Elephas maximus indicus: one gene and its partners. The protein of the gene in region 4 interacts with the protein of the main gene of each other region in a biochemical or structural test. Links are inferred from orthologs where the notes say so. Each region holds a gene or a part of one and is shown on either strand. Other genes may lie near its edges.

Region 1 (7,463 bases), on a different chromosome or scaffold from region 4:
GTGACATCCATTGGTAGCTTGAAATATGCTATGGTAGAAGTATTTACACCGTACAAATCAATGAATGTTTAATAATTATTTTGTTGACTATCTAGACTTTAAAAAAATGACCAACCAAAACAAACAAACAAAAAACCCATTGCAACTCCTAGTGACCCTATGGGACAGAGTAGAACTGCCCCACAGGGTTTCCAAGGAGCAGCTGGTGGACTTAAAATGCCAACCTTTTGTTTAGCAGCTGACTGTTCAACCACTGCGCCGCCAGGGCCCCAAAAAAGTGACAAAGGTGGGGGTCTTAAATACTAGCAAGCGGTCATCTAAGATACATCAATTGGTCTCAACCCACCTGGAGCAAAGGAGAATGAAGAACACCAAAGACATAAGGTAAAGAAGAGCCCAAAAGACAGAAAGGGCCACATAAATCAGAGGCAACATCAGCTTCAGACTGGAAGAACTAGGTGGTGTCCAGCTACCACCGATGACTGCCCTGCCAGGGGACACAACAGAGAACCCTTGATGGAGCAGGAGAACACTGAGATGCAGACCTCAAATTCTCATAAAAAAGACCAGACTTAGTGGTCTGACTGAGACAAGAGGGACCCCAGAGATCATGGTCCCTGGACCCTTTGTTAGCCCAAGACTGGAACCATTCCTGAAGCCAACTCTTCAGACAGGGATTGGACTGGACGGTAAGACAGAAAATGAGACTGGTGAGGAGTGAGCTTCTCGGCTCAAGTAGACACATGAGACCATGTGGGCAACTCCTGTTTGGAGGCGAGATGTGAAGGCAGAGGGGAACAGGAGCTGGTTGAACGGACACAGGGAATACAGGGTGGAGAAGAGGAGTGTGCTGTCTCATTAGGGGGTGAACAGCTAGGAATACATAGCAAGGTGTGTCTAAGTTTTTGTATGAGAGACTGACTTGATTTGTAAACTTTCACTTAAAGCACAATTTTTTTTAAAGTGACAAAGAAAATGTTAATAATGCAGATTAAATTTAAAAGTATGTGAAATCTGTAGCCATTACACTGCGAATGTGGTTGTTGTTGTATGCCGTCCAGTCGATTCCAGTTCACACTGACCCTATATGACAGACTAGAACTGCCCCATCGAGTTTTCTAGGCTGTAATCTCTACGGGAGCAGATCGCCAGGTCTTTTCTCTCTCAGAGCCGCTGAATGGGTTCAAACCACCGACCTTTTAGTCAGCAGGCAAGCGGTTAACCATTACGCCATCAGGGCTCCTCGGATTGTGAGTAGGACCAAAAATCTAAGGAAATATTCTTCCGGTATCTGAAAACTATTCACCAAAGAGGTCGCTGAAGTCACTGACAAGTAAAGTTCTGACATCTCTCGACACGTCAAACTATCAACCAACATTCATGTTGAAACTACTCATTGATCAACTGCAGCCATAGATAGGCTACACAATATCAGTGAAGGCCTTCTGTGAAACCAATTTAGCTATATGGAATTTACAATAAAAACATCATATATTTTATTATTATTTGTAAATTGTGTGCTACACACCCTTTATATTGGTAAAGTTTCTAATACACATATAATAGGTAAGTACACAGGACTGACTACGTAATTTGTGTGGCTCAATGCAAAATAAAAATGTGGGGCCCTTGTTCAAAAATCATGAAGAATTTCAAGACAGTGACCGCATAGTATTATGACTACACAGGTCACACTCCCAAAAAGCTCGCCTTGTATATGCACACATCACCGCCCACCCCCAGAGCTGGTTGTTAAATATTTGCAAGTTCCCTGCTGAGCACAGACTTTTGAAGCTGGCTGAGCCTGAGTGTCCTGTGCTGCCAAATCAGACAAGGCAAAGACGCAGAGATAAGAAAAACCTGGCTCTATCACTTATCAACTCCATGGCTCAACTTCTCTGTACTTTAGTACTTACTCATGTATAAAATGGAAACAATATGACAGTCACAGCATTTGCTAACTGTTCACATCTGCCAGATACTTTTGTAGGTACTTGACACGTACTAGCATTTAACCTCCATAACACTGGCTACTGAGATAGGTACTATTATCATTCCTGTTTTACAGATAAGGAAATAGGTACATAGAGATTAAGAACTTGCCCAGGTTCATACAGTTAGTAAGTGTGTGGTGGCGCAGTGGTTAAGAGCTCGGCTGCTAACCAAAAGGTCGACAGTGTGAATCAATCAGCTGCTCTTTGGACACCCTGAGGGGGTGTTCTACTCTGTCCTATAGGGTTGCTATGAGTCAGAACCTATTGACGGCAATGAGTTTTCGGGCGATGCAAATGGTTAACATGCTAGGTTGCTAATCAAAAGGTTGGCAGATGAAGTCCATCCAGAGTTACCGCGGAGGAAAGGCCTGGTGGTCTACTTCCAAAAAAAATCAGCCATTGAAAACCTTATGGAGCACAGTTCTATTCTGACACACATGGGGTCGCTGTCAGAATCAACCCCATGGCAACTAGAGAGATTTTAATGAAACGGGTAAGAAAGGTCTTTGTAAAATGAGGAAAAAAACAAAACAAAATGAACCATTGCCATCGAGTCAATTCCGACCCTTAGTGACCCTATAGGACAGAGTAGAGCTGCCCCATAGGATTTCCAAGGAGTGGCTGGTAGATGTGAACTGCTGACATTTTGGTTAGCAGCCAAGCTCTTAACCACTGTGCCACCAGGCAACAGACCTACAAATGTGCTGATTACTATTGTTATAAACCACCTTTAATTGTTAATTAGAAAACAGAGCTTTGTCACATCTTCCAAAACCAAAACCAAACCCAGTGCCGTCGAGTCAATTCCGACTCATAGCAACCCTATAGGACAGAGTAGAACCGCCCCATAGAATTTCCAAGGAGCACCTGGAAGATTCGAACTGCCGACTCTTTGGTTAGCAACCGTAGCACTTAACCACTACGCCACCAGGGTTTCCTTGTCACATCTTAGGGTGGTAAAAATCTCATATATTGTTGGTGGGAGTGACAACAATATCTCCCTTATAGAGGGCAATCTGACAATATCCGTGAGAGCTACGCATTAATTTGCCCTGGCCCTGCAACCCCATTTCTGGGAATTTGCCTTGATATACCTGCCCCAGGACAAAATGACATATGCACAAGGGCATACATTGAAGCACTGTTTTTAATGGCAAAAAGTTGGAAACAAAGCAAATGTCTATTATCAGGGGACTGCGAAAACAAATTATGGTATATCTGCATAATGGAATACCAAACAGCTATAAAAAAGCAGCTTTCTATATATCTACCGTGGAAAGACCTCCAAGATACACTGAAATTTAAAAAGTGCAGAACAGCGTATACAGTGTAAGGAAGGAGAAACACAGGAAAATGTAAATTCATATTTGCTTTATTTGCATAAAGAAACTCTAGAAAGATACATATTGTTGCTGTTGTGGTGTGCCGCCAGTGGACTCCAATTCATGGGACCCCCATGTGTTAGAGTAGAACTGCTCCATAGTGTCTTCTTGGCTGAAATCTTTATGGAAGCAGATCACCAGGCTTCTATTCCTCAATGCCACTAGGTGGGTTCGAACCACCGACCTTTCAGCTGGGAGGGCAAACCATTTGCTGCACACAAGGACCTAAAAAAATAAGGGGCAGAAGCAGGAGCTATATAGAAGTTATAATTTTTATTTATTTTGAAATTTGAATGGTAAATACATTACCTATTTGGAAATTTTTAATAAGAAGAGATGCACTGAAATTCCATTTTTTGCTATTGTTTAGAGGATTAAAAAAAACAATATTGCTTTTAAAAGTATTTAAACTCATTGCCATCGAGTCAATTCTGACTCAGCGACCCTAGAGGACAGGGTAGAACTGCCCCATAGGGTTTCTAGGGAGGGGCTGGTGTATTCGAACTGCCGATCTTAACCACTGCGCAACCAAGTCTCCTTAAAATTACTTATCAATACCTTATTGAATTAAAAATTGGCTGTAATCTCTTGGGAATTATCCTGTGAGCCAAAAATTTTTTGCAGTGAGAAAGTATAACTAAAAACATTTTCAAATGGATATTAAACTTAACGTCCAGTAATTACAAGGCCTTGGCAAGGCCCACAGGCTCCTTTCATAATTACACTGGGCGAGGTCTCGAGTCTCTCTCGAACCTGCCTACCACCTATCCCTCCCATCCCGCGGTACCCAGAGAGCGGACTCGGCTGGCCCGCTTCCCAGATGCAGAGGGGAATTAGAGTAGCGATACACCGGAAGTGTGCATGGAAGTGACTGATGTGAACTCACCACCGATTGGCTCTCCAGAGCCGACAGTAGGCTCCTTTCTCCTGCCACTGGCCGCATGGTTTGTCTATTTGAACAGTCCCCGCCCTCCGGAGAAGCCGGGCCTGAAGCGTCATTTCGCCTTCGTTACTATTGGTCTATATTCCAGCCAATCTTCTTACTTCGCCTTTCAATTGGTCCTTAGGTCTGGGAGCCCACCCTCTCTCCCGCCCGGCTTAGAGGACAGCGGGGAAGGCGGGTGGTGGGGTCGGGAGTCTGAAGCTGCGGTACCGGCACTGGCGGCGGCAGCTGAGGCCTTGGCCGAAGCCGCGCGGTGAGTCTGGGGCCTGGCACCGACCCCTCCAAGTTGGCGGTATGTCCAGACCCAAGGCCAACCTGGTCGGTGGGGGCCCCGGGAAGCCGCCCGTCGGGGACGTGGAGTCCCCTCAGTAACAGTCCCACGAGCCTGGCGCCGCCTGGGCCCTTGACCCCTCGCCCCGCGAGTAACGCCCACCTCCTCCCGGGCCCCCAGGAGTCCCCGGACCCTTCAGCCTGTCGTTCGTCGCAGGCTCTCCGGAGGCCGGCCCATCAGCTCCGGTCCTGCCGAGGCCCTTTTGGGGCTCCCTGCCCGTCACAGTCACCCTTTTTTCTTCCAAGGTACATACAAACTGGGGACCCTGTGCCTCGGAGAGGACCGTCCTCAGTGTCAGCCCCTTGCACTGCGCCCTGGAGACCTCTCAGGGTCCCAGTCCACGGGGCTGAATTCGGTTATTTTCTTGGGTTTCATCTTTCGTGCCTCTCCCCCGCCGCCATCCCTAGTTTCAGCCACCCAACTTTAACGGGCTCCCTGAAGCCCTCACTAAGACCCTTAGAACATCTGACTTGGAGTAATTTAACTGAATTCACCTTGGAGCAGAGAGCCTGTGGGACTCAGACCATACAAAGATACACTGGTTCTTTCCTAAGGATGGTAATTATTTGCCAAGCCCCTCCCCCCGCCCCCGCCTCCCCACCTTAATGGTTTTTTCATCAGGGATCCTTAGGTTTCCTCTCCTGTAAAAGATGACATTTCCTTCTGCAGTCTTCTTGGCACTGGGGCATTTAAAAGTTTTTGAAAACCAACTATTCTCTGCTTTTCCTCTGTGGGTCACAAATGGCACTTAAAATAAGAATTTTGGTAATTGGTTTTGTAGTATAATTTGGAGATACCTAGGATGGGTACATGTTACTCCCATAGCAGTCTGCACTGAGCCGTGGTATGGCCACTTTGTTCTGGTTGCCTGGTTATTTGTATTTCCCACTGGATTGTAAACTCACTGAGGGGAAGAGACAGTAAATAGTTGAAGAATGAGTGAATGAACTCAAGAACTAATGTGGCTCTTTTAGCTCACGTTTGAGGTGCTGGTATTCTATAGGACTGCACTGTCCAATTGTGCATGTGGCTATTGGCTAGACCAAATCGAGATTGCTGTGAGCGTAAAATACACACCAGATTTCGGAGACTTAGTGCAAAAAAAGAATGGAAAATGTATCAATTTTTTATATTGATAACATGTTTAAATGGCATTTTATATATTGAGTTAAATAAAATATGCTATTAAAATTAATTTCACTAGTTTCTTTTTACCTTTTTTTAGTATGGTTACTGGGAAGTTTAAAATTACGTTTGTGGCTTGTATTATATTTCTTTTGGATAGCGCTGCTATAGCATAATAATCAGTCTTTGTCTTTAGATTGAACTCCTTGAGGAAATGGGCAGTCTCAGTTATTTGGTATTCTCTCCCCACCTCTAGTACCTGCCACTGAGTCATGTACATAGTTGTTGGGTGCCTTCGAGTTGATTCCGACCCGTAGTGCCCCATGTGACTGTAGAACTGCCCCATAGGGTTTTTCTTGGCTGTATCTTTTTTTATCTTAATGGAAGCAGATTGTCTTTCCTCCATGGAGCTGCTGGATGAGTTCGAACCACCATCCTTTCTGTTAGCAGCTAAGCACTTAACTATTGTGCCACCAGGGCTTCTTATGTGTATACATAGTAGTAATAATGGTTAACCTCAATGAGATGGATTGACACAGTGGCTGCAACAATGGGCTCAAGCATAACAGTGATTGTGAGGATGGCACAGGACCGGGCAGTGCTTCTTTCTGTTGTACGTTGGGTTGCAATGAGTTAGCACCAACTTGACAGCACCTAACAACAACAATAATGGTTAACAATAGTTAACCATTATTGAAAACTCACTGTGTGCCTAGCACTATTTTAAGCACTTTTTAAAATTCATTTAATCCTTTAGAGCTACAGCTACTAACCAAAAGGTAGGCAGTTCACATCCCCCAGGTACTCCTTGGAAACCATATGGAGCAGTTCTCCTCTGTCCTGTAGGGTCGCTATGAGTCAGAACGGACTCGATGGCACAGGGTTTTTATCCTCATATTTATTGTGGTCGAGGAAAGTGAGAGAGATTTTAAGTATTTTCCTCAAGTTATGTAACTTTGGAACTGGATTCAAACCCGGATAGTCTGGCTCCACAACCCACAGTTCAACCCATTTTGCTATGCTGGCTCTTTTAAACGTTAATCTCTGTTGAAAGAATGTTTTCTAGGCTTTCTACGTGTTCCTTAGATCTCCCAACCTTTTTTGAATTCTCCACCTGACATGAGCTGGGTAGAAATCTGTATTGAGGAACAAGGGCCAATAAATTCATTGTCATGGTTCATTATCCAGATACTAAAGGAAGCTTTTCTCCAAAGAACCTCAGGGCAAGATGCTTGGAACAGGACCTGCCGCCGCCACCACGGCCACCACCACATCCAGCAATGTGAGCGTTCTGCAGCAGTTTGCCAGTGGCCTGAAGAGCCGCAATGAGGAGACCAGGGCCAAAGCTGCCAAGGAGCTCCAGCACTATGTCACCATGGAACTCCGAGAGGTTGGGGCTTCTGTGATTTGGGGCAAGTCACTGGGAGGTATCCAAGCTAAATATACCATCACTGTTTTAGGTTCCTTTTTTTTAAAAAAAATTTTATTGTGTTTTAGGTGAAAGTTTACAGCCAAATTAGTCTCTTCATTCAAAAATTTGTACACAGATTGTTTTGTGACTTTCATGGCAATCCCTGCGATGTGTCAGCACTGTTTCCCCTTACTCCAGGTTCTCTGTGTCCATTCATCTGGTTTTCCTGTCCCTTCCTGCCTTCTTGTCTTTGTTTTGGGGCAGGTGTTACCCATTT
Region 2 (6,834 bases), on a different chromosome or scaffold from region 4:
CCTTGGGTCTGGAGATAGGTCAGTGTACACTTTGCTTTTTAATACCACTTCTGTCCTCTGATACAATCCCTGACCCTTGGAGGCTCACATTGTCTAGTTGGCCTACCCTCTCTTCTCCTCATCTACCTATCTTCCCAACACTATCCTCCGTTGCAGAATGGCTTATTTCCTTTTCACTCCCATGTCTGGCCATTATCCTGGGGGCTTCAGAGGTTCATGTAGCTTCTTAATTCCTTTACCATCTCATCTTCAATGCTTTTTCCTCCACTCCAGGTCGGTCATGACCCTACTTTTACATGGCTCTTCATCTGGGATGATAACCTTTATCTTTCTGCCTTGTTCCATTGGTGTCTTAGTCATTTAGTGCTGCCATAACAGAAATACCACAAATGGATGGCTTAAACAAAGAGAAATTTATTTTCTCACAGTCTAGTGGGATACAAGTCCAAATTCAGGGCGTCAGCTCCAGGCGAAAGCTTTCTCTCTGTGTCAGCTCTGGAGGAAGATTCCTTGTCCTCAAACTTCCCCTGGTCAAGCAGCTTCTCAGGCACAGGGACCCCAGGTCCAAAGGACACGCTCTAAGTACACGACCTAAGTAAGGGTGGTGTTAAAATTCCACCCTAGTCCTTTCAACATAAAATTACAATCACAAAATGGAGGACAACCACACAATACTGGAAATCATGGCCTAACCAAGTTGACACATATTTTTGGGGGGACACAATTCAACCCATGACAATCAGTAACTCCCATTACACCTGTTCGGGAACCTTCAGTCCTTCCTGGAATTCTCTTACTCCCTACCCAGCATACATTCTGTGGCTCTGTTTTAAGCACTTTTAAAAGCGGAGGTCTTAAACTCCTTGACTACATAACACTTGTTGAGCAAAGCCCCTTTGTTGGATTAATCCAATTACTCACTCTTTGTGTATCTGTATCTTGACTACTCAAACTAGGTGTAGAAAAATCACACAAACCATCATATTAGTTCTGCCATAAATTCAGAGTCTCCAACCTCAACACTGTCCTTGAAATATTACCATATTTCCTTACATTCCAACTTGCTACAGTGACTATTTTAAACCCATAGTCAAACTTGACTGTGAGCTTTATGATGGCGGGTCCCTATGTAATTTTTTTCACCGTTGAATTCCCTGTGCCTAAGACTGGCCTAGGGAGCCCTGGTGGTGCAGTGGTTAAGTGCTCAGCTGCTAACCAAAAGGTGGTCAGTTCGAATCCACCAGCTGCCCCACAAGAGAAAGATGTGGCAGTCTGCTTCTGTAAATATTACAGCCTTGAAAACTCTATGGGGTGGTTCCTCTCTGTCCTATAGGGTCATTATGAGTCAGAATCAACTTGACGGCAATGGGTTTAGTCTTTTGGTTTTAGGACAGGCTTAATACATAATAAGCACTCAGTAAGTACGTGTTAATTGACTGACATAGTAATAGTGGTAAGCATTCAGCAAATGTTTGCTGTGTGCCAGGCTCCATTCTACATGAGTTGTATGCATTAACTCACTTAAATTCTCCCAATGACCCAATGAGGTTAGTTAGAACTTTTGTCATTCCCATTTTACAGATAAGGAAATATAGAGAGGCAATTTGGAGAGATGAAGTTACAAAACTTGTAAGTGGTAGGGTTTATATGTTATTTAGAACATATAAATGCTTAATAAAAAAAAAATAGATCCAGTTAATTTCAGTTTTAGACAGGTTGAGCATTAGGTGTGTGAGGGACAATCAGGCACTATGCTTCAGGCTCAAGAGAGAGGTGAAAGTGGAGATTAAGATTTAGTAGGGTGTAGTATGTGCATGGAGTCCCTGCCGTGATACAAATGACACATTCAGCTCTGATAGGTTGGCAGTTGGAGTCTACTCAAAGGATCCTGGGAAGAAAGTCATGGAGATCTACTTCTAAAAAATTGATCATTGAAAACCCCATGAAGCACAGTTCTACTCTGACAAACATGGGGTAGGCCTGAGTTTGAAATCGACTGACGTAACTGGTGGATGATGTCCATGGTGTTGAAAACTGCTGGAGCACATACGTAAGCCAAATATTTCGCCTTTTACACAGCTGTTACTTTGGCAGAGCGCTCCAACAGGCTTCCAACGAAACTGTGGTAGTGTGTGTGCAGAAGCCCTCTCTTGCCTTGCATCTAGGTGCTAAGGTGAATTTTGAGAGGGACTTTCTAGACCATCTCTCAGGTAGGACAACACCATCATTGTAATGCTTGAGTCTTTTTTTCCCCCTTAGCATTGCTTCTCCCACTGATTCTCCCTGAGAGTAAGACATCATAAATACTTGGTACCAGTTCCCTTACATCTCACCAAAACATTCCAGTGGTTCTTGAGGGAGGTAATTATCATCTCCAATTTGTAGATAGTTAGAGTAATAATTATAAGGAGCCCTGGTGGCACAATAGTCAAATGCTTGGCAGCAAAGTGAAAGATTGGTGGTTATGGGAAAAAAGACCTGGGGATCTGTTCCTGTAAAGATTACAGCCTAGGAAACCCTACGAAGGAGTTCTACTGTGTATATAGGGTCGTTATGAGTCAAATCAACTTGATGCTACCCAAAAACAACAAAGAGTAATAACTAAGATTTATTGAGCATTTGGAAACCCTAGTGGCATAGTGGTTAAGAGCTACTGTTGCTAACCAAAATGTCGGCAGTTTGAATCCACCAGGCACTGAAGCAGGCAGTCATGAAAGAGTTATTAACCATCCCATAATAGTTGTTTTTCAGAAAAGTCTACTCTTGCTACATTTTTGTTACATCTTTTACGGCACTTCCCCATGATTGGTTAAATGCCTAGGTTTCTTCTGTTCTGGGAGGAGGCCAAGGCGCAGACAAACTGACTCTGAATGTACCTTCTATGAGGTCTTCGCGGGGTGGCAGCAGCAAGCGACCGCTGTTTTTTTAGGGCTGTGCAGAATGTTATTTAGAGCCATGCGCAAGAACTCATTGACTAAAACTATGCCCACTGTTCACGCATCACGAGACTGAAGATACTACCCCTACTGTTCATGTATATGTATGTCACTCCCTATAAAAGGAGCAATCTGCCCTGGTTCAGGGAGCTGGCGGCCACAGGTCGGGAAGCTGCCTGCTTTCAGGTTTGCAAACTGCGAATAAATTTTTGTGTTTTTCCAAGCCTGCGTCAATTCACTAGTCTGCTCGATAAAAACCTCTAAGTTGATTACTTCAGCACTCTATGGGATGGTTCTACTCTGTTCCATAAGGCCACTATGAGTCTGAATTGACTTGATGGTAGGTAGTTTTGTTTTTGTTGTTTACTGAACATTTATTATGCGTCAGGTACTGTGGTGAGTGTTTTTAGGCCTGATCCTCTCCAATTCTCACACCAATTCTCTTTAGTTGGAACCAGTTATAGATGGGAAAACCGCGGCTCAGGGAGGGTAGGTGTCTTGTCCTAGGACATCCAGTAAACTGGCATTTGAACCCCGGTCTTTTTGATCCAGACGCTAAACTGCCTCATCACTGATACATTTGTGGATAACTTCAGGGCTCTCCTCTGTGGAAGAAGGGAGGAAGGAGGATATTTGAAGGGGGATGCTAAGGTTGATTTAAGTTGAAAGTAAGTCCGGACGCTGACGGAGCCTCCCAAAACTCCAAACCGACCCCCCACTCTCTTACAGTCTATTCTCCCCAGCCGAAGAAGCGACGCGCACGCGCACACCCTCTCGCCTGGCTCCGCCTCCCGGGGGGCGCCGTTCCTAGCTCTCGGCTCTGGGGCTTGCGCACTCCATTCCCAGCCGGCAGCGCCTTCCCGGCGGGGGACTTCCGGTGAGCCTGGGTGTGGTTCCGGGTCGTGGCGCGGTTCGGGGCAACAGGGGTGCTGCTCGGCGAGCCGGCGGCGGCGACCAGCGGGGGAATGAGGGCGAGCCTGGGAAGTGGCAGCTGAGCGGTCCGGGAGGAGCGCCAGTCTCCGAGGATTCCAAGAGTTCGGAACTTGGGGCAGGGGCCGGGAGGCGCGGGGGAGCTGGGCCCTCTCTCAGCAACGTGTCCCGGGGCCGGCCCGGCCCGCAGTTTGGAAGCAGCTTCAGGTAAAGGTTGCCTCAGCAGCTGGCTCACTCGCTCGCCTCCCAGCCCACCTCCGGGGCCTGGTGCCTCCCTTCACTCCGCGCTCAGCTCTGCACGGGGGGCAGCCCATCAGGCCGGTGCTCATGTCGCCGGACAGTACCGGTTTCCTGGCTTTTTCCAGAGCTGGAGGCTGCCGTGAGCCTGACAGCTGTGTGTGTGATTTGGGGGAGGAGAGGCTAGTGGACCTGGTGGTGGTGGTGGTGGGGGTATGCCAATTATCCAGTAGTTTCTGGCCCTCTACTCGGCAGCACCTAGGTACCTTGATCTTCATAATCGGAAAATTAAGTTTTAAAAGCGTTGCCTGGGTGGTTCTTGTTTATTAACGCATCTTCTCCCTCGTTCTTCCAAAGAGCCCGGGAGACTCACGAACCGTTTTTTCCAGTAAGAATGCTGCTAAAACTTTTGTTCAATTTTTCATTTATGGCAATGGTAAGGAGGCTCCTAGATCTGTTTAAGGCTTAAAAAACAAACAAACAAAAAATGATTGTAGCTTAGACAAGAATTTTACTTCAGCTGGAGACCCAAAAGTTGGTTCAGAAACTGATTAAAATCTCATACTGAATGAATGCAAGTAGTTTTTGAAGCTTATCGTGTACCTGGTCCAGTACAAAGCACCGTGTTGTTTTAAACCAAAATCAGCAAAGTCCAAAACATCCCAGGTGTGCACAGAGTCAAACAGGGAGACACGTGACTACACACATCAGTTTAAAAAAAACAAAACATTCCATTTTTGATACAGTTGGGGAGAATCTCTAATGTTAAAACCCACTAGAGCAGGAAACAAGGCACCGTATTTTATTTTTCAGAGCCTATGAAGATGCTCACTAGATGTTTTGCTGAAAGAGTTCTTGATGAAGCATTTATAATGTTTTTCATCTCTTTCAGTTTACACAACTGCAGGCTTGCTGGGACCTATGCGGCCCCTTTCCCATTCAGCTTTGCCCTCATACCTACCTTTAGCTACTGTGTATGCCAGTATGCTCACGTTCCTTCACACCTGGTCTAACTTGTAGCTACCTTTTCAGCTACGCTTGACACACATTTGTGAAGACTTCGTATTTTTAAGGAGCCGTGGTGGCACAGTGGTTAAAGCGATCGACTGCCAACCCAAAGGTTGGCAGTTCAAAACAGCCAGCGGCTCGATGGGAGAAGGATGTAGCAGTTTGCTTCCGTAGAGATTTACAGCCTCCGAAACCTTACGGGGTTCGATGGCAGTGGGTTTTTGGTTTGGATTTCTTTAAGTACTCCACCCTGATCTATTACCCTAGACAAGTAGGATCTCAAATCCGTTTTGTTCTTCCTGTGTTGCTTTTTGTGGGACATTTTCTCTGCCTAGAAGGTTTGTCTTGTTCTAGTTCTACCTGTTGAGATGCTACCCACAGTCTAGCTGAAGTTGGCCTACCTCAGCCATTCTGGGACAGCTTCAGGTAGAACTGATTTTTTCTCTAGACTCCTATAAACACTCATTATTATGTCTACAATTATTTCACTTAGCAAGCATTTATTGAGTGTGGATATATACTAGGCACCATGCTAGACATGGGAAATGTGGAGATAAATAAGACTCATTCTTTGCCCTCAAGGAGCTCAACTTAAAGAAATCAATAATTCCAACACAGTGATAAGTACTGTGTGAGAGTTAAATTTGTGATACAGTGGTGGCACAGAAGGAGGGGGTCATTATCTCTTTTGAGGGGTTATGGTCAGGGAATGCTTTATAGTATGGGATAAACGAAGCTTTATTGAGTATTTACCATGTACTGGGTATTATATAAAGGAACCCTGGTGGTGCAGTAGCTAAAGTGCTCAGCTGGTAACTGAAAGGGAGAAAGATGTATCAGTCTGCTTCCGTAAAAATTTACAGCCTTGGAAACCCTGTGGGGCAGTTCTACCCTGTCCTATAGGGTCATGAGTTGGAATCAACTTGATGGCAGTAGGTTTGGTTTGGTTTTGGTATTGTACATAAGTTTCTCTTGTTTAATCATGTTACAGTTAAACGTCAATTGACAGATTAGGAAGACGCAGGGTAAATTACACAGCTGCCACGTGACAGAGCCAGAATTCATACCTGGGTTCATCTGATGCCTAGATCTGTGATTTTTCCATTACATGCTTTGCCTTCTTTCTCACGCCAGAGCTCTCTTTGTACAGGTACATAATGAAATAACTCTACAAGAGAAAAAAATATGAGTGTCAAAATGAATGATACAGAAAGTTCTTTAAACGAATAGAGAAGATGGTGATCTTTCAAAGGTAGGAGATGGTAGATGGGTTAGCTTAATTTTTGAATATGACCTGAGAAGACATTCCATGGACTGTATTTAATTCCTGACCCCTATTCTTACTAGATATGTGAACTTTGACAAATTTTTTAACTCCCCATATCATTTTTCTCAACTATAGAGTGTTTGGAATTATATTGATCTCATGGGGTGTTGTGAATATCTAATCAGCTAATGTGTAGAAAAACCTGTTGCCGTTGAGTCGATTCTGACTCATAGTGACCCTATAGGACAGAGTAGAAATGCCCCATAAGATTCCAAGAAGTGGCTAGATTCAACTGTTGACCTTTTGGTTAGCAGCCTGAGCTTTTTTGACATACTTATTTTATTGTACTTTAGGTAAAGGTTTATAGAACAAATTAGTTTCTCATTAAACAGTGAACATACTGTTTTATGACATTGGTTAACAACCCCATGACATGTCAGCACTCTCCCTTCTCAA
Region 3 (7,583 bases), on a different chromosome or scaffold from region 4:
GGTCATTCCAAACACGTCACAAAGGAAGTGATCGCATTCAAACAAAACCTGCTCTTGCTGCATTTGTTTGCTTGGGTGCCATCTCCAGGTTTAATCATGGTCTCTCCGAGATCCCTGCACCATTGAAGATGTTACACTAACTATTAGCCAAGACTATGGACAATTGTGATTGTTTCTGTAGAAACAATCTAACCACGGAAAGCAAAGCAAGTTCATTAGCAAAATAGAGCTTCTGCAAAAATCAGGAGTTATGGCCATTTTTCATAAATAAACAATAATGTTGATTACTGGGTGGAGAAAAAAAGAAGAGAAGGAAAGGAAAGAAAAGAAAAGGAGGAATCCACTGGCTTGAAATTCACAACTATCATTTCTCTTCTCGAATCACCCTCTGGAATCAAGACACTTGTCTTCAACTAAGAATTCTCACTCCCCGCCACAACCTTCCTGTGAAACTCAGGAAAAACAAAATGTTCAGGTATTAAACCTGGACTATTAACATGCATAACTTCTCCCCAATAAGTGGACAATAAATAAACTATACTTTTCCAGAAAAATAAGCCAAAGGCCTCAAAAAGTTCTTCCAAACAACATTTAAAAAATTAATACTGTAACAAAACGCAACAAACTTAATTGTTTTTACACCATTCCATAATACAAGTCAGTATTCACAGTTTTCTTAAAGGGCGTCAGTACCCATGCGCAGAACCAGTAGCTACCACCTTCAGGTAACGTTAAAGATGGGAGGGCAAGGAAAAACTATCAGGTAATTACCACGTTCATCCTTTCTGTACTTTCTTATTCAAGAGCACAGCACACGTGTGCTGCACGTATCCTGTGTTCCACTAACCACACAAGGACAATGGGGGTGAACTAAGGACAAACAGGCAGCAGGAACAAATGAGTTTTAGGTTGAAGTGGGGACTTTCTGGCTTTTAGGAGTCTGTATCACAGAGGCTACCCAAATACAGTTAGGGGGAATAGAGGAGGATGAAGTTCTAAAGCAAGGATGAAAAAGTAGATTTTAATTTACTGGCATGAAAGGAATAATTGAAAGGATGTAATAAAACAGATTTCCTAGCCAACTAAAAATTTCAGGGCAAAGAGAGAAAGAAAGGGCGTAGCACTGAGGAAATACTTCTATGTGTCAGGAACTATGCTTAGGACTTAAATATGTGATTTCTCTGACCATTAACCAAGTACTTTACGGTGAGATTCAGAGCTTCTAAGAAATTTAGGGCAATTTACAAGGCTAACATGAAAGGGTTGTGGCATATTAATATTTTAATATTATATGTTCCTCCAACACCAAACAGGTAGGTTTTAACCTCAATAATTCCTCGTTGCCGTTATAAATAGATGTAACCAATTAGATTAACCAGGAAAGCACTGAATTTAATTTACATGTCAAATATGAAATCCTACCACCTATGCCAAGTCAGAACTTTCAGTCTGCTTATAAATGTTCACTATGAGAAGTAAAAGGAATTGATAATGTCCAGCTTTTTCAGACATAGTAAGCTTGCCCTGAATCTACAACTTCTGAAGGCAAAATATTGTCACTGCTGCTCATCTCACTTAAAGCTTCCACAGATTTTTGTTCCAAAGGGAATAAAGGCAAAAGTAAAACAAAAACGAAACATACACACACACACACACACACACACACACAAAACCACTGCTCATAAAGAAATGGGAAACATTTCCATTTCTCTTTTATTTTCAGTCCCCTCAATCCAAATAGAAGGGCTGCTTCCTCCAATGGCTTAAGACCAAGTGTGCATTACTGAATTAGGATCACCACTGAATGTATGTACAAGGTTATAATCACAACAGTATGATCTAAAAGAGAAAGAGAAATATTTACCAAATTACCTGCTACTGCTGTTATTCTTCTTGGATTTGTTCCTCCGTTTTAAGGCATCTCTGTCCTTTTTATCGTACGGTAACATGGAGGCATAACCATGTTCAGCTTCTAGAAAACCGGAGGATCCAGTTAATGAATGAGCCCAGAGCATTCAATACTCTCTCCCCTCCAGTCTCTCCTTTTTTAAATCTATTTTTTCTTTAAGAGTATTGTGGAAATAATTAAACGCAGCAAGGTGGAATTCTGTGAACAATGACTTTTTTTTTCATTGTGTTGAATGCCCTCAGTTTGGAGGTGTACGGAGGGATTCCAGCTGCTCATTGTTGAGAGAGACACAGCAAGTCGCTCCGCTCACCGAGCCCGGGTTTCCCATTCGCAGCGTCCAGCAGGTTGGCGTGTGTTAAGCGGGACCTGCCTCAGGTGAAGCTGCGGGGCAAACACGGGGTGCCGGGGGCAGGGCAGGCGCCCCCCCTCCGGCCGGGAGACTGGGCGCCAGGCCCGCTTGGGGGCCGGCCGGGGCGAGCCCGGGTGAGGGAAGGCAGGAGGTCCGGCTGAGGGGGCCGGGGCACCCCACTCGCAAGCGGGCGGAGGCGGCGCTCGGGACGCCCGGGGGCGGCGGCCCCTTTCCACCTCCATTCATCGCTTTGGGGCAGCCGCAGCCTCCCTCGGACCGCGCGTGGAGAGAGCTGGAGGGGTTGGGAGCGCTCGCGGTCGCGCTCTCCGCGCCTCCAACAACCCCCGGAGCGGCCGGGAGCCCCGACCGCGGACCGGCCCCTCAGGGTCCCCGGCCCGGACTTGGCTGGACCCGTTCCCGTCCCCGTGCACCTCTCTCCCGCCGCTCCAGGTAGTCGGCAGCCTCCAGCAGCAACTGGATATTCATCCGAACCACCGCCGCCATTCCGCACCGGGGGCCGGAGCCACGGGACCAACCCCCACTGCCCACGGGCTCGCCGCCGCCGCCGCCGCCGGACACCCGCGCCCCGCTGTGTGCCCCGTGGAACAGGGCTGAGGGAGCCTCTCTGGCGACCACGCTCGCTGGGAGAGAGAGGAGGCCAGTGAGCTGGGCGCCGCCGACACCGTGACAGAACCCGAAGATAAGCAGCAGCCGCCACCGCCGCGGAGTGTTTATCCCCGACTCACCATCCCCCCGCCCCCAGCCCCTGCTCTTGACAGGCCCGCTTCGGCTGCGTTCCTCATTGGACAGTCCAAAGAATGCCCCGCCCCTAGCCTTGCCCTATTGGGGGAAGGCAGTACGGCCCAGCCCCCCAAAGTCCGCTTCTCTCGTTGATTGGGCACGCTTGACAAGGCCCGGGCTCCACCCCCTCCCTCCAATTGGTGACAGGATTCGCAACTCCGCCTAGTGCTCCTTCCCTGTTTTCCATTGGTTCTATACCAACAACCAAGCCCCCTTTTGCTTTGTTAGTATTGGCCGAGAGCTACTGAAGGCACGCTACTTCACCTATTTTCTATTGGTGGAGCCTTCCGAAACCGCCCAACTACGATGACGTCACCTTTCTCCAGGCCCGGCGAGCCCTGAGTGGCTGGAGGTGAGAGACCTCCCTGGGTCTGGCAATGGTTTGGAGGGGCGAACCCGGGCGCTGGGCGCCGCTGACTCACCAGGCTGGTGGAGTCGGGCTCCACCCGGCCCCGCCTCGAACCTGTTGCCGGGCCTCGTCCCCGGGGAAAACTTCCGGCAGCTTGTCTGGGGTTCCCCGAGTGGAAGGCGCAGTGCGAGGCGCCTGGGCTCACAGCCCGGCTCGGGCTCGGGGCCGGGGTGCTGGGTCTGGCGGCCGCGGCCATGGAGGTGGCGGTTTCCCGGGACTTAGGTGGCCGAGGACCCCGCTGCAAATCTTCCTGACGGGAGAGCGGCGCCGGCAGCCTGGCGAGCGGCCGGTGGGTCCCTGGCCCCCGCGGCGCCACGTGGCTGTGGAGTTTGAGGGAAAAAGCCTGGCTCGGGTTAAATGCTCGCCGCCCAGCTTTTTTCTCTCCTCACAAAGCTGCGGTACACAGCACCCAAGCCCTCTCCAAAGGCAATTTTTTTTTTCTTCCGGGAAGTGATGGTATAATTAATTACTCCCTCATGCAAGTTGGTTTTAAAAAGTTCTTGTACCTACAAAATAACGTTGAACCCCGAGATTCTTTTAAATCTCTTTTTGGGTCTTTCCCTCCCTATTAATTCTAGATGAAACACTGAAGGGAATACTCCCTTTTGTGTGTTTGTGTGTGGCAGGGGCCAAACCCCTTGCTGTCCAGTCGATTCCCACTCATAGCAACCCTATAGGACAGGAGAATTGACCCCACAGGGTTCCCAAGCGGTGGCTGAACTGCTGACCTTTTGGTTAGACTTAACCACTCTGCCACCAGGATACGAGGATGGCCAAGTGGTTAAGCATTGAACTTAACACTCAGCGGATCAATGGTGGTACCAATAATAGACACACTTAATAGGATGTTAAATCTACATAACTAAAAAGTACTATTTAAGGACTGTTCCCTAAGCTTACCAAGATTTCTAGGATGAAATCTATCTCTAGACCCAAGTTACCAGGTTAATATACTGACATCTCCAACTTAAAAAGTAGGAGTTTTTGGTAAGTTGAGAGTCCTGAAAACAGAAATCAGTAAAGCATGATCATATTTCAGAAAGCTTCTTAAAAAAGTTTATTATTGTTGCCAGTATATGATAATAGCTTACTATGTGTCAAGTGATTTACCTACTTTATTTCTAATACTCAATATAACCCTATGAGTAAGATTGTGTTAATTATGAGTAAATTGCAGCTCAGAGAGGTTAAGTGAATGCTAGCCCTCCAGCAGGGGCTTCAGATCATCAGTTCCTTCGTTCAAACGCCTCCTGATAATTTGCATTTCTAGCAAGTTCCCTGCTGAGAATTTGCATTCCCCCCCAGATATACTGAATCAGAATCTACCTTTTAACAAATCTCCCCCCCCCCCGGTGATTCTTATGTATAACTTCTGGGGAATTTGTTAGAAATGTTCATTCTGGTTCCAAGCCCTGCAACCAGTCAGCCCCAGGGGGAACTGAACCTAAATCCCTCTCGCCCAGAGCCCATGCAACTGGTTGTACTAAAGACAAGACAGTTAAGAAACAGACAACCTGACTGAGTCACAAAACACCAACACTCAAACACTAGAGAAAGAGGAAGAAAAAGGTGAAAAGGTAATTACGATGAGAAATTTTTAACTTGTCATTTTTAGTGGTTGACAAATCCATTACAGTTAAATAAACTCGACAGAATAAGTAGACAGATGTGTAGTAAATCACACCTCACAAAAGGGAAATACATTTTCTGGTTTTGATAGTTAACTGGATCTAAAAGCTGCCTTTTTTTTATGAAAACAGTAAATACGCATACTGAAGAAAAAAGGGTTTTCAAGAAAGCACGAAACAATGTTGGAAATGAGTGAGAATTGAACAGTTTAAAGAGTTGTTTAACTGCATGCTTAATTGTAAAATATATTTAAAAATCAAGATGAAATGAATGCAATTCTACTCAAGTTCCAAAACTGACACTCTGATTTTCTTAACATTTTGGATTTTCTATACTTTTATATTTTTTCCCAATTTTATTATGGTCATTCAGCACATCTTTATTCTTTCTCTCTTACTCTCAACTCTTGATCTTAACCCAAGTCCTATTTCAATATTACTACCCTTCCCCTAGGAACCCTGGTGGCCCAGTAGTTAAAGCACTCGGCTGCTAACCAAATGGTCAGTGGTTTCCAAACCACCAGCCGCTCTGTGGAAGAAAGATGTGGCAGACTGCTTCTGCAAAGATTACAGCCTTGGAAAGTACAGCCAGTTCTCTCTGCCCTGTAGGGTCACTATGAGTCAGGATTGACTCAATGGCAGTGGGTTACTCTTCCCCTATGAATCCGTGGGTGGCACCCCAAGCCCACCCACAGTTGCCTTGGAAGACAGACCTAACAATCTGCTTCTGAAGGTGACAGCCTTGAAAACCTTATGGAGCAGTTCTACGCTGCACACATGGCATCATCATGAGTTGGAATCAACTTGAAGGCAACTAACAACCAGGGCTTCGAACTAATTCTTCCCAGTTCAGTAATGGCTGAGGAAGCTAAACTGGAATAAAACCTAATTTTTACAATTTGGGTGATCCGGAGTGATAACTGGAATGAGGGGAAAAAATGGTGGAAGCCCTGGAATGGGAGACTCGGAAGAGGCGTAGTAAGCCCTTTCAGGAGCCTGGTGCTTGAGACTGGATTATTGGCAAGACTGTGGAGAGCAATGCGGCCAGCCACCATCTTTAAGCACCATCTCCGTTACCTGGTAGCAGAAGAAATGATCAACTAGCCACCAATGCCAACCAGGAATTAGTATCATGAACTTCAAAGGGTATTTGGTGCCATCTACTGGACGTGAAGCAATAAGTATAAAATATTTTAGGTTTTATACTTGAAAGATTTTAGGTTTTTTTCCCTAAAATTTTACACAAATGTATATATTACAGTGGGAGCCTGGGTAGCACAGCGGTTAAGCGTCTGGCTCCTGACCAAAAGATCAGCAGTTCGAATCCATCCTTGGAAACCCTATGGGGCAGTTCTACTCTGTCCTATAGAACTGCTATTAGTTGGAATCGACTTGACTGCAATGGATGTTTTTTTTTTTTTTGGTTATATATAAAATGACCAGTTGATTAAGAAAACCCAAAAGTACAAGTTTTGAAGAAAGAACTGAAGATCCTGAGAAATAAAAGTTATGACCTCCTAGCACTTAGTGCCTCAGAGGCATTACGTAAGCATTGACTGATGGGCACAACCCCCAAAATAAAAGTTGTGAATTCTAGAACATTTGAAACTGAATTTTATGACCAGAATTTTAAATAAAAAGCTGTATATATTGGCAGAAACATAGAAGATCCTGGATGGCACAAATGGCTAAGTGCTCAGCTACTAGCCAAAAAGGTCGGCTGCTTGAACACACCCAGAGACACCTCAAAAGACAGGCCTGGCGATCTGGTGTCCAAAAGTCAGCCTTGAAAACCCTAAGGAGCAGTTCTACTCTACTCTGCACACATGCGGTTATCACAGGTGGGAATATACTCAACAGCAACTAACAACAATAGCAGAAACATGGGCTGGCAATAGCTTGTATCTTCAAGCACACATCAAGATAAACTAGTAGACTTGAGCAATGCAGCGGAAAACGGGGAAGCACAAAGATATAAGATATTATGTTTGTCAGTTAATCTTCATTGCATCTCTCAGAAAGCTAAGACCCAGTTCCCTGCCTTTGAGGGGCAAAGGGTAGCATGCCAAAAGGTAAATGCCAAAGCTGAAATGAGCAGCATGTTCATTAAATGCTATGGAAATTGACAGAGATGCCTCTTCAGTGAGTACCTCAGATTGGCAGGGAAGAAAACTGTCGTATTATAATCCTTAAATGTCTAAAAAGTTAAAAAAAAAAAAAACCTATTAACTGATTTTTCACTTCCTGAGCACTATGACATTAAAATAAATTTTGTTTATAAGTTTTTGAGGAATTTATCTTGTTCCTCATAGTGTAAAAATCAGGACTGGAAGTTTCTGCTTCAATAACATCAGTAACCCTTCTGTGGCTACTTTGCAACACTCCAGTATCATTATATCTGATATCATATTAAGTTTTAAAAATGGTGCCTTGCAAGAATTGGTCACTCCACAAATATCTGTGACTTTAAAAATAAGGCAAAGGCTA
Region 4 (7,870 bases):
GGGGGGCGGGGCGGGGGTCGCGGGGCCCGGGGTGCAGGGCGCGTCCCCCCAGCCGCTCGCCCCGCCCCGGAGGGAGAGGACTCGAGGCCGGGGCTAGAGGGGGCGGACCCAGGCGACTTCCCGGAGCGGCGGAACCGCTGAGGTCACCTCGCCGCCCCTTCCCTGCCCGCCCCCCTGCCGCCCCGCCCGGATGGGGCCCGCGGGGCGGGGGCGGGGCGCGGCGGGGAGGGGACCCTCTCGCGATACTTGCCGCCTCGGCCTCGTGTCGCCCTGAGGTCCTGGCCGCGCCCGGCCGCAAAGGGTCCCCCTCCGAGGGCCATCCCCTCCCCCAGTCCGCTCTGGGACAGTCACCCGAGGGCGCAGCCCGGACCGCAGCCTCCTGGCAGCACGCGGGGAGCCAGGGCTGGGATCGGGGAGGGGGCGCGTGGGGGGCAGGGCTGTAAACTGAAACGACTTCATCCCTTCGTGGGAAGTCTTCTTGTGAATTTATGTCATCTCAGGTGGGACACTCGTCCGCACACTCACGTGGGATCTCGACCTTGGCGGCCCAGAGCATGGACACCCACCCCGCAGCAGGTCCTAGCGAGCCTCTACTGCTGCCAAGGCGGCATGGGGTACAGGACACGTCCCAGCAAAACGGGGTGGGGTGGAATCGGAGGGAGGCCCTAGCGCCTTGGAAGCCCAGGGCAGGCAGGAAAGTCTGGGGGGTGGGGAGTGGCAGCCGCGGGAGGGAGTCGGCACCCAGGGGGCTGGGCGTTCCAGGTGGGAGGAGCCGGCGTGAAGGTGTGAGAGACACCCGGGTCTGTGGGAGATGGAAACCCCCACAGAAAAGGGTGGGGGTTGAAGAGGTTGGGGTCCCACTGGGAGGTGCTGCTGGTCAAGGACCTGACCAGGAGTGCCCTCGACCGGACCCATTTGGAGGCACCGGCTAAGCTGTCTGTCCCCACCACTCATGTCATTCTCGAGATCACTCAATCCTGTGCTCGTCCAACTCCGGTTTTGGTGGGAGGTTAGGTGAGGGGCCCAGGGCCACACAGTGGAGGGGAAGCCCCAAACCATGGTTCTAATCTGGGCAGCCTGGTTCTGAGTCCCACTCTGCACTTCATGGAGCCCAGGAGGTGAAGAGGGTGGTGTGGTTATCCAGACCCGGGTAGGGGCTGCGCTGGAGGAGGGACCAGGTTAGAAGGATGGACCCCCGCCCAGTGGATCTGGGGAGAGGAAGTAGTGGGAGAAGTCAGGAGCCTGGGGGGATGAGGTGAACAGCTGTGATTTGTGGACCCGCCAGGAGGGACCAGAGCAAGGGGAGGGGTCTGGTTGGAAGCCAGTGGTTTGGGGGCCTGAGGGGCTCTGGGACTCAGCAATGTGATAGACCTGAGTGCGGTTTTTATCTCCTGTGTGTGGAAAGAAAGCACAAACTTGTACTAAAACTCTGAACTTAAAATCCGTCCCAGTGGCCTGTGTTTTTATGTGCTAAATCTGGCAGCTGTAGCTTCCAACCCTGGAGTCACTTGCCCGAAAGAGCAGAGGGGCAGCAGTGCCCTGGCCCCATCGCCCTCCAGTCTGGGGACACCTCCCTCAGTCCGTTGAAATAGCCCTGCCCCCTGCCTCAGCCTTCAGCAGGAAGAGCTGAATTCAAAGTCAAGTTCAGAGTGGGACAAGCCTACCTCTGCGCCACCGGGCCTGGGATAAGACCCTTGGAAGCTCTTTGAATCTGCCAAATGGGAATGAGTGCCCCTCAGGGGGTCTTTGTGCAGATTAAATGCCTTGCGAGGCAGGTAGCAGGCTCTTCCAGAAGGTTGTTCCCCAGTTAGTCCTTCCTGGCTCTTCAGTGGTCTGTATTCCCATGTCATCTCCTGCTGGTTGAGATCAACCTCCCCAGCGCCGGTCTGCACTGCCCATCCCTCTGCCTTGGTCTTCTTTGGGGACTTCATGTCATGGATCTGTACATCTGTGGTCTCCTGTTCCCCTGCCCGCTGAAAGGTACCATTTTGTTCACTGTCAAATCTCTCCCTGGTGTGGAGATTGTGGCTCCTGGCCACCTTGCCTGTGCTGCTTCCTTTGGCCCTCGCCCCTGTGCCCAAGGGGGAGGAGGGAGGCCCCTCTACGGGGCTCTGACAGCCCCTCTTCAGGCCTGGGAGTGAGGCCCTGGGGTGGGGTGGGGGCGAGCTGAGCAGGACAAGGAGCTCCTTTGGGACCTGACGGGTTGTGGGGTGCGGGGCGGGGAGGTCAAGGCAGGTGGGGACCTGCCTGCAGGAACCCTGGGCTGGGTTGGAGGAGGCAAGGACTTTACTGATTAGGGGAGAGTGGGAGAGAAGCCCGGCATGCTGAAAGTCTGAGTTCAAAGCCCCCGTAGTGGGGGAGGGACTGTCCAAGAAGTCCAGGTGTCAAGGCTACCACCATGTGCCCCATGGGCATCAGGTACCCGCTGGCCTTGGACCTCGGATCCTTTCCCAGGTGGGTGAGGTCCGGGCATGACAGGAGGCCGAGAACCCCAGTCAGTGGTCAGTGGGCGGCCCAGGCAGAGCCTCCTGAGACGCAACGCGCAGGCTGGGCCACCATCTGGCCTGGGGACTGCCCAGAGGCCCCGCCCTGCAGCTGCCACCAAGACTAGCAGCAGCCTGGCTGCCTGCCCCGCGAGGTGCCCCCTGACGGCCAGCAGCTGCAGGGGTGACAGGGCAGGAGGCCTGCTCTGGGAGGGGCAGGTGGAGTGTCCTCCAGAGGGGAGGGTGTGAGGCAGTTCTTGATGGAAACATCTGGCCAAGGAGCCCTAGGTGGCCTGGCAGTGGCCAGTGGAGTTAGACGGAGCTTTGCTCTCTTGTTGTAATTGGGGAGGGGGCCGTCCTTCCCTCGAGGAGGCCAGAGGAGGTGGGACTGGCCTGCCTGCTGGAGTGCCAAGTCATGGGGGAGACAGGCCCAGGCAGAGGTGCACATGAGCTGGGGCAGTGCTCAGGGCTGGAACAGGCGGGAGGCCTCTTGGGGCCCCACCAGCCGCTGGGATATTGTGGATCCCTGTGATGAAGCCATTTCCCAAATGGCCAGTGGATGAGTGGCCTGAGGAATCACACCTCTTCCGCGACAGGGCACCCTCCTGCCCTGGCAGTGCTTACCTGGCCTGCCCAGGCTCAGCGGGTTCCCCTCCTCCACCTCTGCTGAGCCCCGAGGGGGTGAGGGGACAGGTAGGACGTTCCTCCTGAGATGGGGAGCAGTGTCCAGGTGGGACAGAGGAACCTAGGGGACCACATGAGTGTTTGTTGGGTGAATGGTGAGTGATGGACAGACGTGGGACCCGCCGGCTCTGGGGGATCCTTGGTCAGCATCCAGCCCAGGCAACAGAGACCTATGACTTGGGCCCCTGGATGCAGGGCCCTGCCCGGAGTCTACATGGTCTGAGCTGGGACAGCTGTACTGGGGGGAAGGGGGAAGAGGGAGGGTCGGAGGTGCTAAGGGGAGAGGCTGGGAGCTGGGAGCCCCCTGCCCTTCTCTGAGGGGCGTCCTACCCTTGTCCAGCCCCGAGGGGCAGGGGTGGATCCATATCTCTGCTGTGGACAGAGCCTCGTCCCGGGCACACGGCTGGCTACACCTGGCTGCAGGTGAGCCTCTGGCCAGAGTGAGTGTCCACACCTCCCTCCAGCCCGGGCTGAACTCTGACCCTGGATGAAAAACAAAAATGACCCCCCCCCACCCAAATACTTACCACCCCTGATGGTGGCTCCTAAGAGTCTTCCTTTCACAAAAGGGTTGTTATCGACTGGAGGCCTCGGGGTGGGGAGTCAGTTGGAGAAACTGGCCCAGAGAACAAGTGTCTGCAGGTGAGTCATCCAGGTGTTCCCAGTCTGCGGGGAGGGGGCTTGGGCCCCAAGGCATAGGACACTACACGGGGCCCCCCTCTGGGCTGTGAGCCATCCCAACCATCACAGCCCTTCTCTTGAGTCTGTACCCCCTTCACCACAAGAGCCCCAGTTCCTCTGGGTGTCTGCCTCCAGCTCAGGACCGGGTGGCCAGACAGGTATGAGGAATGAAGCCCATGAGCTGGGAGGTGCTGGTTGGATGTCCTCTATCTGGGCCCTGAGACCCCTTTTCTCCCCTGTCACCACGCAGAACCCCCTCCTTCATTCCCTTTTGGAACTACCCGCTTCAGTCTCTTCCTCCTAGGGGGGCTGCTGGAAGCCCCTTGTAGGCACTGAGGGCCTGGCTCCGGTTAATGGAGGCCCAGATCATGGCCAGGGGCACGGTGGGCCTTCAACACACAGGAATGTCAGCCTCCCCCCAAAGCCTGTCCAAACTCCAGCCCGCATTCAAGGCCCGCCTCAAACAGGACTTCCTGGGGCCCCCATCCCGCTGGACAGGGCTGCTGGAACGGGGCCTCTCTGGACATTCTTGTCCCCCCTTCAGGGTGGGGCTGGGCCCGAGGGCACCGCTGACAGTCAAACCGACGCCCCCCACGGAGGCAGATCCCCAGGATTCGTCCCTGACCTTCCTCCCCCGCCCGTCCTAACAGGGTCATGGCAGTTCCGGGCCGGGAAGTGCGGGCGCACTTTGCAAACAGGGAAACTGAGGTCGGAAGGACGGTGCCGGAGAGGCTGGCCCCGCAGCGGGCGCCGGAGGGCTGCTTCCTCGGCCGGGCGCGCTGGGGCGGCCGGCGGGGGCGGCGGAGGCGGATGTGGGCGGGCGGCTCCGGGAGGCGCGGGGCGGGGAGAGGGCGGGTCGCGGCGCGGGCGGCGGTAGGACCGAGCGCGGCGGGCGGCCCGGCCCAGCGCACAGCCCGGAGCACCGAGCGGCCGGAGCACCGAGCCCGCGGCGGCTCCGCGAGGCCGCCAGCACAGCGCCGCCCGCCCGCGGCCGCGGCCCCAGCCCGGACCTGCCCCGCGCCGGGCCGCGGCGGGCGGGGATGCGGAGCGGCGGGCGCCGGAGGCCGCGGCCCGGCTAGGCCCCGCTCGCTGGCGCCCGACGCGCGGCCCGGTGAGTCCCGCCGCGGCCCGGATGCGCCCCGCGCGGGGCTTTGTTCGCGCCGGCGGGCGGGCGGGCGGGCCGGAACGGCGCGGAGCAGGAAGTGGCCGGGAGCGCGCGGCCTGGCGCGGAGGGCGCGGGGCGGCCGGGAGGGAGGCGCCCACGCCGGCCCGGGGCGCGGGCCGGGTCCCCGCATGACCTTGGGGCCGGGCCGGGCCGGGAGAGGGGGCCCGCCTGCGCGGCCGGGGGTCGGGGCGCGGGGCTCTGGGCGCGCGGCCAGCAGGCGCGACGCGCAGCGGGGGCGCAGGCGGCCTGGGGGAAGGTTCGGCCCGCCGCCGCGTCCGCGTCTGTGGGTGGGCCGCGGGAAGAAGGGCTCGTTTTCCCAGAGACAAAGTTGCCCGTGGTGGCCGGGTGCCCAGGCCAGCCCACAAAGGCTCCTAACCTCTCCCGGGCCCGACCTTCCCTCCAGGCCCCGGACCGGCTTCCTGTCCCGAGTGGGTGCGGGGGCACTGCCCACCCATCCCAGGGCCGGGCCTGGAGGGCAACTGGGGCTTGTCGCCTCACATTGGGGCTCCCTGAGGGAGCTGGGCATCTTCCTCCTGGCTCTGAGTGCTGCCCTCCTGGGCAGGGCGGGGGCTGTGCTCCGTGGCCTCAGGGCCCCCACATTTACTCCGCGCGGGGGGCCCCAGCCTTGCTCCAAGTGGCCGCTGTTGACTGATCTGAGCCCCTGGTCCACGTGTAGGGCGGGTGCTGCAGTGGGGGCTTGGTTCCCCGCCCCCCAGCTGAACACACAGTTCAAAACCTAGCATTCTCTGGCGGGGCAGGGGGAGCCTCTTCCTAGCCCAGGTTGTTTTTTTTTTAAAGTGTGACTTAAACAATAACAACAGCAGTAGCAATAACACGGCTTCCCTGAGACAGTCGCGGCAGCACATGTATGGTGGATCCCTCCGCCCGCTGGCCTGGCTCAGAGCTGTCCGGTGGCTGGTTTGGGGCGCACATTCTCAGTGTCGACACACCACCCTGTGAGTGCACAGATGTATTTTTACACACTGGAGCCCCGAGCTCTCAGCAGCTGTCTGACTTTGTCAGCACAGGCCCTGGGGCCGGCTCCCTTCGGGGCTCAGGCGCAAGGCGGGCACGGAGAGGTCTTTGAGTCCAGCCCCTGCCTCCAGGCCATGCCCCCTCCGGTCCGAGATCCCTAGCCGTGGGTTTCATAGAGCCGTTTGTGCCCCTCCTCTTTCCTGGTCATATCTTTATCAGCCTCTCTTCTGAGCACCGCAGGTGGACCTGCTGAGTCCCAGCAGCTACTGCTCAGATGGATGGAGGGCGGGGGGGTGGGGGTGGGGGTGGGGGTGGCTTCTCTGCCCTGATATCACATGGCATGAGGTTTTTTTTTGCTGTTTTCAATTTAGCTTAAGACAATCAGTGCAAAGCTACCAGGCCCTGCCGTGGGGTGAGCTGGTGCCCAAGTGGGGATCAGTTCCATAGAGGTCCTCTGCCCAGCCTGGTGGTCCCTGAGGAGTCTCCCAGGCCCACTTTGGGAGTGCCCATCTGGAAGGGTAGCAGAGGACTGCTCACAGGACGATCGTGTCAAGTGCCCTTTCCTGGGATGCCCAGAGTGGGTGACGTGGGAGCTGGGTTTTGAGGGATGCCTAGGAGTTCGTCCAACAGGGGTGAGGGGGGAGGGGGGAGAGCATGCAGGATCAATGGCTGAAGTGTCTACTCCAGTGAGGTCTGGCTGGTGGGCTGCTGTGGATGGGCGCCAGTGCCACTGCTGTTTGTGCAGTCCCCCCACCCCCCTATTTGTTGCCTCCTGAATGCTATAATTATGGGTCTGTAACCACCCTGGACTGGGTGCTCCTTGCCGACAGGGTCTGTCTGAACCTCTCTTTGTCCCAAGCCCCAGCACTGGGCCTGGCAAAACCAGAGATGCCTGGTACCTGGCGACAGGATGAATGAGCCAGATTCAGACGGACAGGAGCGTTGTGGTTTAGGAGGGGCCTGGGGGTTTTCAGGGGAGGTTTTCCATGTCTCCTGGGGCAGCTCTGGGCTCTCATTTTCACAAGTTGCCTGCACTCCTGGCCCTGCCTTTGTTACGTTTGACCTTTTCTCCTTTCCAGGTCTCAGGGACAGGGAGGAGGGGCCCTGTGCCCTGCCCCAGGGACCCCAGCCTGTGGGCAGAAACCCCATGGGCCAGGAGAACAGACAGGGTACCCGTGATCAGGGGCTTGGGGAGGCATGGGCTGAAGCAGTCCGAAGGGCTGCCTGGAGGAGGCGACCTCTCAGCTGGGTTGGCAGGTTAGGGAAGCTGGATAAGCCAGAGGGCCTTTGGGAGATGGGAGTGATTTGTACAAGGGCCAGGGGAGGTGGGGGCAACAGAGGGGACGGTGGTGGGGGGATGGCAGTGGGGTCTGATCTTCAAGAAGGGTGGGTCAGGCTGGCGGGCAAGAGATGAGCCAGCTGCTGAGATCACGGGGACAGAGGAGCCGGCCTCACGCAGGTCCCTTGTCTTGCAGTGGCTGTGGGCACCGCCAGGGCTTGGAGACCTGCCTAGGAGGAGCAGCTGAGTGTCGTGGGGTCCCCACCGGAGCCCAGCACCATGAACGACGTGGCCATTGTGAAGGAGGGGTGGCTGCACAAGAGAGGTCAGTACACCCCCTGTGGGGCTGGGGGCTATGCGTGCCCTGGGGGCTGGGGTTGGAAGGCACCATGGGTGGCACGTGATGCCTGGGGATTGAGGGGCTCCTCCCCAGGGATTGTCCTGGGCCCAGCTTAGCGTGTCGGCATGGAGGGCCCAGCCGGAGATGAGGGGCAGTGAGGCCCCACTTAGCGTGTAGCCGGAGAGGGCGGCCTCTGAGTGGCGTCCTGGCTGGGGCATGGGGTGGGAGAGCTGCTGCCAGCTTGCCTCCTGGCATTCCTGGAA

The links.
Region 1: of the proteins of AKT1 (region 4) and MTOR, one has a biochemical effect on the other in vitro, tested with the Homo sapiens proteins (19 studies listed by BioGRID and IntAct, with this or other methods). The link is inferred for Elephas maximus indicus from reciprocal best matches to the Homo sapiens genes AKT1 and MTOR.
Region 2: of the proteins of AKT1 (region 4) and MAPKAP1, one has a biochemical effect on the other in vitro, tested with the Homo sapiens proteins (3 studies listed by BioGRID, with this or other methods). The link is inferred for Elephas maximus indicus from reciprocal best matches to the Homo sapiens genes AKT1 and MAPKAP1.
Region 3: of the proteins of AKT1 (region 4) and MXD1, one has a biochemical effect on the other in vitro, tested with the Homo sapiens proteins (2 studies listed by BioGRID, with this or other methods). The link is inferred for Elephas maximus indicus from reciprocal best matches to the Homo sapiens genes AKT1 and MXD1.

Annotation. Positions count from the first base shown.
Region 1 is NC_064821.1:51,095,392-51,102,854, reverse strand, and holds the start of MTOR (serine/threonine-protein kinase mTOR), read left to right. Parts: upstream 1-4,463; 5' UTR 4,464-4,572; intron 4,573-4,597; exon of another isoform or gene 4,598-4,895; intron 4,896-6,963; 5' UTR 6,964-7,003; coding exon 7,004-7,165; intron 7,166-7,463. UniProt on the Homo sapiens protein: Serine/threonine protein kinase which is a central regulator of cellular metabolism, growth and survival in response to hormones, growth factors, nutrients, energy and stress signals.
Region 2 is NC_064827.1:76,668,955-76,675,788, reverse strand, and holds the start of MAPKAP1 (target of rapamycin complex 2 subunit MAPKAP1), read left to right. Parts: upstream 1-3,833; 5' UTR 3,834-4,073; intron 4,074-6,834. UniProt on the Homo sapiens protein: Component of the mechanistic target of rapamycin complex 2 (mTORC2), which transduces signals from growth factors to pathways involved in proliferation, cytoskeletal organization, lipogenesis and anabolic output.
Region 3 is NC_064835.1:66,292,089-66,299,671, forward strand, and holds the start of MXD1 (max dimerization protein 1), read right to left. Parts: upstream 3,007-7,583; 5' UTR 2,763-3,006; coding exon 2,690-2,762; intron 1,973-2,689; coding exon 1,873-1,972; intron 1-1,872. UniProt on the Homo sapiens protein: Component of a transcriptional repressor complex together with MAX. In complex with MAX binds to the core DNA sequence 5'-CAC[GA]TG-3'. Antagonizes MYC transcriptional activity by competing with MYC for MAX binding.
Region 4 is NC_064828.1:119,089,300-119,097,169, reverse strand, and holds the start of AKT1 (RAC-alpha serine/threonine-protein kinase), read left to right. Parts: upstream 1-4,854; 5' UTR 4,855-4,959; intron 4,960-6,341; exon of another isoform or gene 6,342-7,245; intron 7,246-7,463; 5' UTR 7,464-7,546; coding exon 7,547-7,592; intron 7,593-7,870. UniProt on the Homo sapiens protein: AKT1 is one of 3 closely related serine/threonine-protein kinases (AKT1, AKT2 and AKT3) called the AKT kinase, and which regulate many processes including metabolism, proliferation, cell survival, growth and angiogenesis.